Linked DNA regions of Xenopus tropicalis. The protein of the gene in region 2 purifies or fractionates together with the protein of the main gene of each other region. This does not show direct contact. Links are inferred from orthologs where the notes say so. Each region holds a gene or a part of one and is shown on either strand. Other genes may lie near its edges. The genes, in order: klhl42, cops6 and fbxo7.

Evidence for each region.
Region 1: the proteins of cops6 (region 2) and klhl42 purify together in Homo sapiens (affinity purification with mass spectrometry; 3 studies listed by BioGRID and IntAct, with this or other methods). This does not show direct contact. The link is inferred for Xenopus tropicalis from reciprocal best matches to the Homo sapiens genes COPS6 and KLHL42.
Region 3: the proteins of cops6 (region 2) and fbxo7 purify together in Homo sapiens (affinity purification with mass spectrometry; 4 studies listed by BioGRID and IntAct, counting the BioPlex papers as one, with this or other methods). This does not show direct contact. The link is inferred for Xenopus tropicalis from reciprocal best matches to the Homo sapiens genes COPS6 and FBXO7.

Annotation. Positions count from the first base shown.
Region 1 is NC_030679.2:10,512,495-10,517,231, reverse strand, and holds the start of klhl42 (kelch-like protein 42), read right to left. Parts: upstream 3,622-4,737; 5' UTR 3,136-3,621; exon of another isoform or gene 3,110-3,135; intron 3,091-3,109; 5' UTR 2,840-3,090; exon of another isoform or gene 2,660-2,839; 5' UTR 2,320-2,659; coding exon 1,490-2,319; intron 1-1,489. UniProt on the Homo sapiens protein: Substrate-specific adapter of a BCR (BTB-CUL3-RBX1) E3 ubiquitin-protein ligase complex required for mitotic progression and cytokinesis. The BCR(KLHL42) E3 ubiquitin ligase complex mediates the ubiquitination and subsequent degradation of KATNA1.
Region 2 is NC_030679.2:144,237,088-144,240,440, reverse strand, and holds the end of cops6 (COP9 signalosome complex subunit 6), read left to right. Parts: intron 1-949; coding exon 950-1,064; intron 1,065-1,149; coding exon 1,150-1,242; intron 1,243-1,350; coding exon 1,351-1,451; intron 1,452-1,896; coding exon 1,897-2,037; 3' UTR 2,038-2,419; downstream 2,420-3,353. UniProt on the Homo sapiens protein: Component of the COP9 signalosome complex (CSN), a complex involved in various cellular and developmental processes.
Region 3 is NC_030679.2:7,492,597-7,496,804, forward strand, and holds part of fbxo7 (F-box only protein 7), read right to left. Parts: intron 2,882-4,208; 5' UTR 2,863-2,881; coding exon 2,741-2,862; intron 2,665-2,740; coding exon 2,391-2,664; intron 1,718-2,390; coding exon 1,502-1,717; intron 1,424-1,501; coding exon 1,282-1,423; intron 806-1,281; coding exon 722-805; intron 1-721. UniProt on the Homo sapiens protein: Substrate recognition component of a SCF (SKP1-CUL1-F-box protein) E3 ubiquitin-protein ligase complex which mediates the ubiquitination and subsequent proteasomal degradation of target proteins and plays a role in several biological processes such as cell cycle, cell proliferation, or maintenance of chromosome stability.

The DNA.
Region 1 (4,737 bases), about 130 Mb from region 2:
AACAGCCCCCTAAGTTTGCCCATAGCCTGTACAGAGAAATCCCATAAAACAATGGCAGCATAGGGATTCCCCTGTACTAAGCACAATTCAGCAGGAACAGCCCCCTAAGTTTGCTCAAAGCCTGTACAGAGAGATACCATAAAACTATGGCAGCTTACGGATTCCCCTGTACTAAGCACAATTCAGCAGGAACAGCCCCCTAAGTTTGCTCATAGCCTGTACAGAGAGATACCATAAAACTATGGCAGCATAGGGATTCCCCTGTACTAAGCACAATTCAGCAGGAACAGCCCCCTTAGTTTGCTCATAGCCTGCACATAGGGATTCCCCTGTACTAAGCACAATTCAGCAGGAACAGCCCCCTAAGTTTGCTCATAGCCTGTACAGAGAGATACCATAAAACTATGGCACATAGGGATTCCCCTGTACTAAGCACAATTCAGCAGGAACAGCCCCCTAAGTTTGCTCATAGCCTGTACAGAGAGATACCATAAAACTATGGCACATAGGGATTCCCCTGTACTAAGCACAATTCAGCAGGAACAGCCCCCTAAGTTTGCCCATAGCCTGTACAGAGAGATACCATAAAACTATGGCACATAGGGATTCCCCTGTACTAAGCACAATTCAGCATGAACAGCCCCCTAAGTTTGCTCATAGCCTGTACAGAGAGATACCATAAAACTATGGCACATAGGGATTCCCCTGTACTAAGCACAATTCAGCAGGAACAGCCCCCTAAGTTTGCCCATAGCCTGTACAGAGAGATACCATAAAACTATGGCACATAGGGATTCCCCTGTACTAAGCACAATTCAGCATGAACAGCCCCCTAAGTTTGCTCATAGCCTGTACAGAGAGATACCATAAAACTATGGCACATAGGGATTCCCCTGTACTAAGCACAATTCAGCACCTTGCTATTTCCCTTGCATGTCAGTTTGACAGGATGATGGGAGTTGTAGTTCAATAACAAGGGGAATTAATATGGTTCCTATAGATGATAAAATAGAAGGTGTGCTTAGATTCTCAATACAGGACTCAGGATATAAATTTATTTTATTATATGAGTTCATCCAAGTTTAGAACTTGGAGTGGAACCTTGCACCTGGTATGTAAAGGGGAAGTAAACCACAAAATATTTTATTTTGTGCACAGAAATCGAAGGCCTGCGGTAGCTTCACAGGTGAAAAACACCAGCAGTCAAAATGCCCTGGTCCACTAGTCACCACAGCTAATGCTACTCAAACACAAGCAGTATATTTCCCCCTAGCAATCAGGAAGCGGTGTGAATGACAGATTTGAAGATAACCTGTAAAATAAGACTTTAAACTAGTTAGGGGTTGCTAGGGTCACTGACCAAGCAACCAGGCAATTGTCTGAATAAAAGACTGGCATCCTGGGCTCCTCAGTGGCCATAGCTTCATAGGACAGAACCAGAACAGAAAAGCAAAGTGACTAAGGAAAACAATATTCCCCACCTGATTACCTCTTTTGGTTCATGGAGGGCTCCTGGGTCCAGCACCCGTTGCTCGGGTTGTACGAGTGCACGGCACTGATCTCTTGCCCATTGTCCCTCCTACCTCCAGCCACAAACAGGTAGTTATGGAGTGTGGTAGCCCCATAGCCTTGCACCCTCAGCATACTCTGTGGGACCTCTCCGGTCATGACTTGCCAACCGCCTCCCCCTTCCAGGTACCTTAGTAGCACCCAGTTGTCAGGGCCCTGTTGGGACAGGACCATAAGGGCTGGGGTTCCTCTCAGCCTCTCTTCCAGGACACGAGTTCTGAGGGACCTTGGGCTCTGCTGGAAGTCTTCCCTCCTCAACATAGAAAGGTAATGAGCAGCCATGAAATGTAGAGCTGCCGAAGCCAAATCCCACTGGCCATGCAACTGCGCCACCTCCAGGATATCCAGACACGTGTCCAGGGACATGGAGGACTGCAGGAGAGACAGAAGACCTTGGACCTGTAGGTAGGATGCGGCTTCCACCACAGCCTGTAAAGGGCCCGATGACTCCAGGCCGCATGTTGATTCATCCTCCAGTGAGCAACGTTCTGGATCTTCCAAGGAAACAACCTGGAAACCAAACTCGGAACCCCCCTGAGCTTCTAGAAGGGAACCCCCAGTGATGTGGCGGAGAACCCCTTCCAGGCCCTCAGGGGTCAGCCCATGCAGAGTCACTGGTTCCCCATGACTTTCCCTCATGCCCGACCGGAACAGTGACTGGAAGAAACCACTCTGAGCCACCAGCTGTTCCCTAGGTACAGAGTAACACCTAGAACCCAACAGTATCTGAACTGTTTCTACAGAGGACATCACTTATACATGCATGATGCCTTCAAGAACCCAGAAATGGAACCAGAAAAGGGATCTACCAACATAAAAACATCACACTATTTGTGCACCGCATAGCTACAAGAACCTTGGGCACCTAATCAGGGCATCAAACTCTCATATCTGCAAGAACCTTGGGCACCTAATCAGGGCATCAAACACCCATACCTACAAGAACCTTGGGCACCTAATCAGGGCATCAAACCCTCATATCTACAAGAACCTTGGGCACCTAATCAGGGCATCAAGCACCCATATCTACAAGATCCTTGGGCACCTAATCAGGGCATCAAACTCTCATATCTACAAGAACCTTGGGCACCTAATCAGGGCATCAAGCACCCATATCTACAAGATCCTTGGGCACCTAATCAGGGCATCAAACCCTTGTTTCTACAAGAACCTTGGGCACCTAATCAGGGCATCAAACACCCATACCTACAAGATCCTTGGGCACCTAATCAGGGCATCAAACACCCATACCTACAAGAACCTTGGGCACCTAATCAGGGCATCAAACCCTTGTTTCTACAAGAACCTTGGGCACCTAATCAGGGCATCAAACTCTCATATCTACAAGAACCTTGGGCACCTAATCAGGGCATCAAACACCCATACCTACAAGAACCTTGGGCACCTAATCAGGGCATCAAACACCCATACCTACAAGAACCTTGGGCACCCAATCAGGGCATCAAACACCCATACCTACAAGAACCTTGGGCACCCAATCAGGGCATCAAACACCCATACCTACAAGAACTTTGGGCACCTAATCAGGGCATCAAACACCCATACCTACAAGAACCTTGGGCACCAAGCACCCACTCTGGGCATAAGAATATCAGGCAGAGAACCAATAAAGGAAATGCCCAATGTTCCTTACACCCCCCACCCATGACAATTAAGGAATCTCTTGGAAAAATACTCCAAAAATAACAGCCCAGAAGCAACACCCTCCAATCAGGAACAGTTGCCCAACTAGAGAATGGACCTGGATTCCCCACCCATCAGCCGGTCCCGTTTCAGCTCAGCAAACTGAGTAACAAGAAAGTCCAGAAAGAGAGAGAATCCCATCTGTGCAGCTTGTCCATTCAGCTCATTGTGCCAGCAGCTCTAGCCCCATTGGCTGCCCCCACTTGCCCCCCTTGCCCAGTCTTTCCGTTTACCCAACATGGAGAGAACGCCCCAATACAAACTGACCATCCAGGCATTTCACTTCCTGAATGTGCAGAAGCTTGTAAAAAACCCAGTCCCCTCCACCTGCGTGCCAGGGACCACGCCCACTTATACGCAAACACGTACTTGACACGCCTCCTGCCCCTCTTATAACCACAAGCCGCGCAAAGACACGCCCCCATTGCCAGACGCACCTCCTCATGGAAGCGTCTGCTTCATAGACAGGCCCCTCCCCTTCCCATATTGTGTTTTCCCCCCCATGCCCCATAAACACTGGCCTTATATGTGCAGCTGGGATTCTCTATGGGAGGGCTATATCCCTGCCAGACGCCATCCCCATGGGAACAGGCAACCCTAGCAGATATTACATAGTAGTTGGAGTTCAGCCTTTATCGCCCAACTGAGAGACTTTAGCTGTAAAAGCCGTAAAGAGATACTGACACCAGAAATTAAACCCTTTATTGCAACTGTCATGACACTGTTTGTACATTTATTTATTTGCCCATAGAAGTGTTTGCCCAATGCATTTATATTACCTATCTGGTCTCCATGTCCCTCTATGAGGCGGCGGCGGCCATATTTGTGCAGCCATTATTGGTTAGCATTAGGAGCTATAACTGACCGGCTGGGAGGGGACACTCAGGTTTAGGAACGTCAAATAGAAATGACTTACATTAACAGCCCTCCCTACCTGGGAGGATGTTGAGGAGAATGCTGGGAAGGAAGCTGGAGGATGCTGGGGGGGAACTGGAGGATGCTGGGGGGAGCTGGAGGATGCTGGGGGGGAACTGGAGGATGCTGGGGGGAGCTGGAGGATGCTGGGAGGGAACTGGAGGATGCTGGGGGGAGCTGGAGGATGCTGGGGGGGAGCTGGAGGATGCTGGGGGGAGCTGCAGGATGCTGGGGGGGGAACTGGAGGATGCTGGGGGGAGCTGCAGGATGCTGGGGAGTGGAGCTGGAGGATGCTGGGGGGGAACTGGAGAATGCTGGGGGGGAGCTGGAGGATGCTGGGGGGGAGCTGGAGGATGCTGGGGGGGAGCTGGAGGATGCTGGGGGGGGAGCTGCAGGATGCTGGGGAGTGGAGCTGGAGGATGCTGGGGGGAGCTGAAGGATGCTGGGGGGGAGCTGGAGGATGCTGGGGGGAGCTGCAGGATGCTGGGGAGTGGAGCTGGAGGATGCTGGGGGGAGCTGGAGGATGCTGGGGGGAGCTGGAGGATGCTG
Region 2 (3,353 bases):
ATTTGTATAAACTTCTCTACATTATTCTTTAGTGAATACTGATATTTAATTCACTGTATAATGCAGCCTCTTCTAATTTCCTTATCATTTACAGTAGGGGGTACATTATCCCTTATAATACATGAGTGATACTCAGTTCCCTGTATAACTCAGCCTGCAGCCTTGTGCCTTTATATGGGCACAGAACCCCTCAGTGACTGCTAATATCCTTATCATTTACAGTAGGGGGTACATTATCCCTTATAATACATGAGTGATACTCAGTTCCCTGTATAACTCAGCCTGCAGCCTTGTGCCTTTATATGGGGGGCACAGAACCCCTCAGTGACTGCTAATATCCTTATCATTTACAGTAGGGGGTACATTATCCCTTATAATACATGAGTGATACTCAGAGTTCCCTGTATAACTCAGCCTGCAGCCTTGTGCCTTTATATGGGCACAGAACCCCTCAGTGACTGCTAATATCCTTATCATTTACAGTAGGGGGTACATTATCCCTTATAATACATGAGTGATACTCCGAGTTCCCTGTATAACTCAGCCTGCAGCCTTGTGCCTTTAAATGGGCACAGAACCCCTCAGTGACTGCTAATATCCTTATCATTTACAGTAGGGGGTACATTATCCCTTATAATACATGAGTGATACTCAGAGTTCCCTGTATAACTCAGCCTGCAGCCTTGTGCCTTTATATGGGCACAGAACCCCTCACCTCAGTAACTTCTAATATCCTTTATCATTTACAGTGGGGGGTACATTATTATAGTGATAGTCACTAACAGATGCACAGTAGTAGAAGCGAAGCGATACAGGTTCCCAGCCGACCAATCGGCACACAAGACTTCCTGCAATGGTTGCTCAGTACTCCTCTAGTTCAGGGCGTAGAGTTGCACCAGAGAGCAGTTAAACATCCCTATGCTTTTGTTGCCCCACTATAATTTTCTAGGCCACCATGCTTCTAGCGGAACTGTCCTACACTTTGGCCACAGAAGAAGCAGAGAGGATCGGGGTGGATCACGTAGCCAGGATGACCGCCACGGGAAGTGGAGAGAACTCGACAGGTATGGGAAGGCGTCTGAGACTGAAGGAAGGGCGGGCAGTGCCTCGTACTGTCCTTAGTGTAAAACACCTCCTGTTCTGTTACAGTGGCGGAGCATCTCATAGCTCAGCACAGCGCCATCAAGATGTTGCACAGCCGCGTCCGGCTCATCTTGGAATATGTTAGGGCGGCCGAGGCGGGTAAGTAACCAATCACCTTTATACATTGCATATATTCATTGCACCCTGAATGCACTTCCTGCATCTCAGAGCCTCACTTCCAATCACTTCCAATCTTTTCCTTACTAGGGGAGGTGCCGTTTAATCACGAGATTCTACGAGAAGCCTCTGCTCTGTGCCACTGTCTCCCTGTCCTCAGCACGGACAAGTTCAAGATGGACTTCTATGATGTAAGTGCGAATGTTCCCTTATTTGTACACTTACCCACGTGAACAGTGTTATGGAAGCAGAGAGAGTACAGGAAAGGACAAATAAATTAATAAAGGGAATGATGATTCTGATGCTCGGCCCAGTCGAGGTTACACTGGACCAGCGACCCCTCTGTATAAATATCCTGTTTTGACGTAATGCTGACATAACTTGCTGCTCCACAATAATTCGCTTCACTCCCTGACCCAGCAGGCTTCCATTCTAAATTCCCCGTCACAATCACACACAAAGCAGGGTCAGTTTTAGTAGTTTTTGGAGAGATTTCAAGCAGTGTACCCTGATCAAAACAGATTTTGCAATCCTAGCTGTGCCAGGCAGCAGTGCTAACATATAAAACACAGAAAGGATGCTAATTTACTGGTCGATAAACCCCTCCCTTATTGTTCTCTCTCTTTCATTCGCCAGCAATGTAATGATGTGGGCTTGATGTCTTACCTGGGCACTATCACCAAGACGTGCAATACCATGAACCAGTTCGTCAACAAGTTCAACATCCTTTATGACCGCCAGGGGATTGGCCGACGTATGCGCGGTCTCTTCTTTTAGGATCCGGGGTTTTGGCTGGCATATGCGTGGTCTCTTCTTCTAGGATCCCTGGGTATTGGCTGGCATATGCGTGGTCTCTTCTTCTAGGATCCCTGGGTATTGGCTGGCATATGCGTGGTCTCTTCTTCTAGGATCCCAGGGTATTGGTCGGCATATGCGTGGTCTCTTCTTCTAGGATCCCAGGGTATTGGTCGGCATATGCGTGGTCTCTTCTTCTAGGATCCCAGGGTATTGGCTGGCATATGCGATGGACTCAGTAGAACAATTACACAGCTCCCATGCCTGCGTTAAGTGACTCTGTAATAGAACATCCCGCCTTCGTTCTTTTTTTGGTTCTTAGTCCAAGAGACATGGACAATAAAGCTTGATGTTAACACCTACAGACTGAGTGCCTAGTGCCACATTTATTGGGGTCACTACTGTCCGACTCTTTGAAGGGTAGGTCGTGAGGCTCTGTTGGTGGTGGTCAGGTTCTTTAAAGTGCCAGTGGCACAGCTGTTGAGAGTAAAGGAGGCTATACAACGTAAGATCTGCTCGCTTGGAGAGGTTGCCAAGTGAACGGATCTTCTCCTCCTGATATGTCCACCTATGGGTGGGCAATATCGGGCTAATTAAAACGGCAGTTCAACAAGCCAATGTGGTTTCCGATCCAACGTAAAAATCAGACCTGCGCGATTGAGGTCGGCCAGATGTTGGTCGGGGAGGCTAGTTGGTAGCGCCCATTCATGGGCAGATAAGCTGCCGAATCAGTCTAAATGGCTGATATCGGACACACCTAGAAGTATGGAGATTTATTGATGATGACGTGAGAGCCAAGGTTTTGGTCACATTGGAGTGATAAGTCTCTCTCAGTTTAATGGTGGGATATTTTCGGAAGTGGCGACCCACATTGCAGTGATCAGTTGGTTTGGCCAGTTAATGTAATGAGCAGCTCTGCATTTGGTCAAATCCCCATGGAAATATGCTCACAGTAGATGGTTTTTCGGATGGAAAGTCCCTCATTCCCTGGCTATTAGTACTCTGCCTGGATCCTGTGTGCAGTCTGTAATCTGGGGGACTTTGCCCAGCAAAAAAAGTAGTCTGGTTGATCTGACATTCCATCCAGTTTGTGATATCGCGTAGTTTACACAGTGGCAGGTAGGTGGGTTCAGGTCGGCCCAACTGGTCCCACACATGACTGTCTGCCACTGGCTTACCATTGCTGAGACGAGGTATTATGGGAATGGGAGCTGCTCTACAGCGAGCCCACGCACACACCGTTCAGGGCTGAATCGTCGGATAAGGAAGTAGAAACAATAGGAATTCTGCCCCTATCT
Region 3 (4,208 bases), about 140 Mb from region 2:
AGGGGTTCTGTGCCCCCCATATAAAGGCACAAGGCTGCAGGCTGAGTTATACAGGGAACTCTGAGTATCACTCATGTATTATAAGGGATAATGTACCCCCTACTGTAAATGATAAGGATATTAGCAGTCACTGAGGGGTTCTGTGACCCCCATATAAAGGCACAAGGCTGCAGGCTGAGTTATACAGGGAACTCTGAGTATCACTCATGTATTATAAGGGATAATGTACCCCCTACTGTAAATGATAAGGATATTAGCAGTCACTGAGGGGTTCTGTGCCCCCCATATAAAGGCACAAGGCTGCAGGCTGAGTTATACAGGGAACTCTGAGTATCACTCATGTATTATAAGGGATAATGTACCCCCTACTGTAAATGATAAGGATATTAGCAGTCACTGAGGGGTTCTGTGCCCATATAAAGGCACAACACCAAAGGCCGAGTGCTTTTATACAGATCATGGAACGGAATATAAGGTGACTATTTTACAACAGGGGGTACCTTATTTATTATAACACATCATGTGATACAGATGACATCACTGAGCACCAATTATAACTGATGACATCACAGAGCACCATTTAAAAGGATATCGTTTACAGAAAACGCATGGCTCTTGTGTTTAGACATAAACTTCTGATCCCGGCTCTTCATCCGTTAACCCTTTCCTGACAATTTTTTTGGCCCCCGCACCCCCTTTACCGGCGGAATCTGCCCCGTACCTGTCTCGGGGTAGGAAATGTAGGAATTGGTCGACAGCTGAAGTTTCCGCACACTTTTCATCTCGCTGTTAATCTTCAGGGTGGCTGCACGTGCAAAAGAGGAGAAATGAGGATGGCGGCAGCCATATTGCAACAAGATGTGAGCCTATGCTGTCGGCCAGGGGTCCTCAAACTGTGGCCCACGGGCCGGTTCCAGCCCCCTGGGGTAGGTGGTGGTCTGGCCCCCCCATTGCTTAAGAAGTTTGAGGACCCCTGCTGTAGGCAATGAATACAAACAGGAAGAGCAACTGTCACCCTAGAATTCAGAGTTTATAGGTGCTATGGGTGACCTGGTGTCACATGGTTCCTATAAACAGAATGGGGGGGGGGAATATACCAGAGCAATGAGAAGGAGCTTTAATACAAGGCTGCAATGCAATGCATGTACACTAGGTGGGGCACTAACTCTTTAACATGCTCCTGTGCCACACACACAGCAGGGGGCAGTACAGACAGCAGATGAAGGCAGGGGGCTGGCAGACTGGGAGGAAGAGGAAGGATAAAGTACAAGTAATACTCACCATTGATTATGACCAGCTTGCCCATCGGCAAACAAGCCAAGGTGGCCGAGACTTCAGCGCACAGAGGGTGAGTGTAGTGCAGCCTGTAGGCCCCCCCGCTGCGCCAATCCTGCGGCATACACAGCACCTTGCTTTCAGCACCCTGGGGGGGGACAAGGAAGGGTTACCGACCCACCAATCACAGATCCCTGGGATGGGGGGGGCCATATTGACTCCCTACCTTCTGTAAGTAGCCAGTCTCCAGCATCAGTAGGTGGATGGCGACTATGAACGCGTCGCTGGCGCCGGTGCAGCCGGCAGTTTGGTACAGAACCTCCAGGGAGTGGGGGATTTTCCCATCTAGTGCCTCGCTGCAGAGCATCACCTCCCAGGCCGGGCCCGACATCCCATCCTCCATGGCCACGTCCTCCGCTGAGGGAGGGGCTTGCTGGGCAGCCTGGCAGCAAAACCAATGGGCATTAGATAAGCCTGTCCGTCTCTAGCCCCATGGCTACTGCCCCATGGCTACTGCCCCATGGCTACTGCCCCATGGCTACGGCCCCATGTCTCCTGCCCCATGTCTCCGGCCCCACGTCTCCTGCCCCACGTCTCCAGCCCCACGTCTCCAGCCCCACGTCTCCTGCCCCACGTCTCCTGCCCCACGTCTCCTGCCCCACGTCTCCTGCCCCACGTCTCCTGCCCCACGTCTCCTGCCCCACGTCTCCTGCCCCACGTCTCCTGCCCCACGTCTCCAGCCCCACGTCTCCAGCCCCACGTCTCCTGCCCCACGTCTCCTGCCCACGTCTCCTGCCCCACGTCTCCTGCCCCACGTCTCCGGCCCCACGTCTCCTGCCCCACGTCTCCTGCCCCACGTCTCCAGCCCCATGTCTCATGCCCCATGTCTCATGCCCCTTGTCTCCTGCCCCATGTCTCATGCCCCTTGTCTCCTGCCCCATGTCTCCGGCCCCATGTCTCATGCCCCTTGTCTCCTGCCCCATGTCTCCGGCCCCATGTCTCATGCCCCATGTCTCATGCCCCATGGCTACTGAGTAGAGAATTATTTCACCCATCCCTACTACTGAGTAAACCAGGAATACCAGTACTACCAGTAGTATCTCAGCACACATTACCTGAGCCATGGCTTGGGCTCCTGTGCTATCATCTGACTGGCTCTTGGGCCTCTTGTTAGTCGAGCTGCAGGGTTGGCTGGGATCCACCAGGGGGCAGCCAAGATCCCGCTTATCGGGGGCCGGAGCAGGAGCTGGCTGCGGCGGGGGCAGCTGAGAGTCCGGCAGTACCACAACAATCAGATCCCCGGAGATGATCCCCGCAGACTCCAGAGTGTTCTGATCCCCAGTCAGGGCATCTTTGCCATTCAGTGTGATGGTGAAATTTGCCTCAGTGCTGCAAAGGAAGGATATAATAATTAAAGGGTAAGTGTCCCTGCTGTATGTCTGTTCCCAGGGGGGCAGCGCATTACCTGTAGCCCAGAGCCGGCAGGGTGACGGAGGATAATTTACTGCGCAAGTCTCCCAGGGTCGGACTCTCCGCCTCCAGCTCTAAGCGATTGGTCTGCTTCCTCACTCTCACCCTCAGCTTCATTCTTATTGGCTGCGCGTCCCTGAGGGAAGAGAAAGGCTTCAGTAAAGGAACACGAGCGGCTTCTGATTGGCTATCGCTTCAGGCAACACATATTGTATTATTATCCTTTATTCATATAGCGCCGACATATTCTGCATCATTCCCATCAGTCCCTGCCCCAGTGAGCTTACAATCTAAGGTCCCTATCCCATTCCCATCAGTCCCTGCCCCAGTGAGCTTACAATCTAAGGTCCCTATCACATTCCCTTCAGTCCCTGCCCCAGTGAGCTTACAATCTAAGGTCCCTATCCCATTCCCATCAGTCCCTGCCCCAGTGAGCTTACAATCTAAGGTCCCTATCCCATTCCCATCAGCCCCTGCCCCAGTGAGCTTACAATCTAAGGTCCCTATCCCATTCCCATCAGTCCCTGCCCCAGTGAGCTTACAATCTAAGGTCCTTATCCCATTCCCATCAGTCCCTGCCCCAGTGAGCTTACAATCTAAGGTCCCTATCCCATTCCCATCAGCCCCTGCCCCAGTGAGCTTACAATCTAAGGTCCCTATCCCATTCCCATCAGTCCCTGCCCCAGTGAGCTTACAATCTAAGGTCCTTATCCCATTCCCATCAGCCCCTGCCCCAGTGAGCTTACAATCTAAGGTCCCTATCCCATTCCCATCAGCCCCTGCCCCAGTGAGCTTACAATCTAAGGTCCCTATCACATTCCCATCAGCCCCTGCCCCAGTGAGCTTACAATCTAAGGTCCCTATCCCATTCCATCAGCCCCTGCCCCAGTGAGCTTACAATCTAAGGTCCCTATCCCATTCCCATCAGTCCCTGCCCCAGTGAGCTTACAATCTAAGGTCCCTATCCCATTCCCATCAGTCCCTGCCCCAGTGAGCTTACAATCTAAGGTCCCTATCCCATTCCCATCAGCCCCTGCCCCAGTGAGCTTACAATCTAAGGTCCCTATCCCATTCCCATCAGCCCCTGCCCCAGTGAGCTTACAATCTAAGGTCCCTATCCCATTCCCATCAGCCCCTGCCCCAGTGAGCTTACAATCATCTAAGGTCCCTATCCCATTCCCATCAGCCCCTGCCCCAGCGAGCTTACAATCTAAGGTCCCTATCCATTCCCATCAGCCCCTGCCCCAGTGAGCTTACAATCTAATGTCCCTATCCCATTCCCATCAGTCCCTGCCCCAGTGAGCTTACAATCTAAGGTCCCTATCCCATTCCCATCAGCCCCTGCCCCAGTGAGCTTACAATCTAAGGTCCCTATCCCATTCCCATCAGCCCCTGCCCCAGTGAGCTTACAATCATCTAAGGTCCCTATCCCATTCCCATCAGCCCCTGCCCCAGCGAGCTTA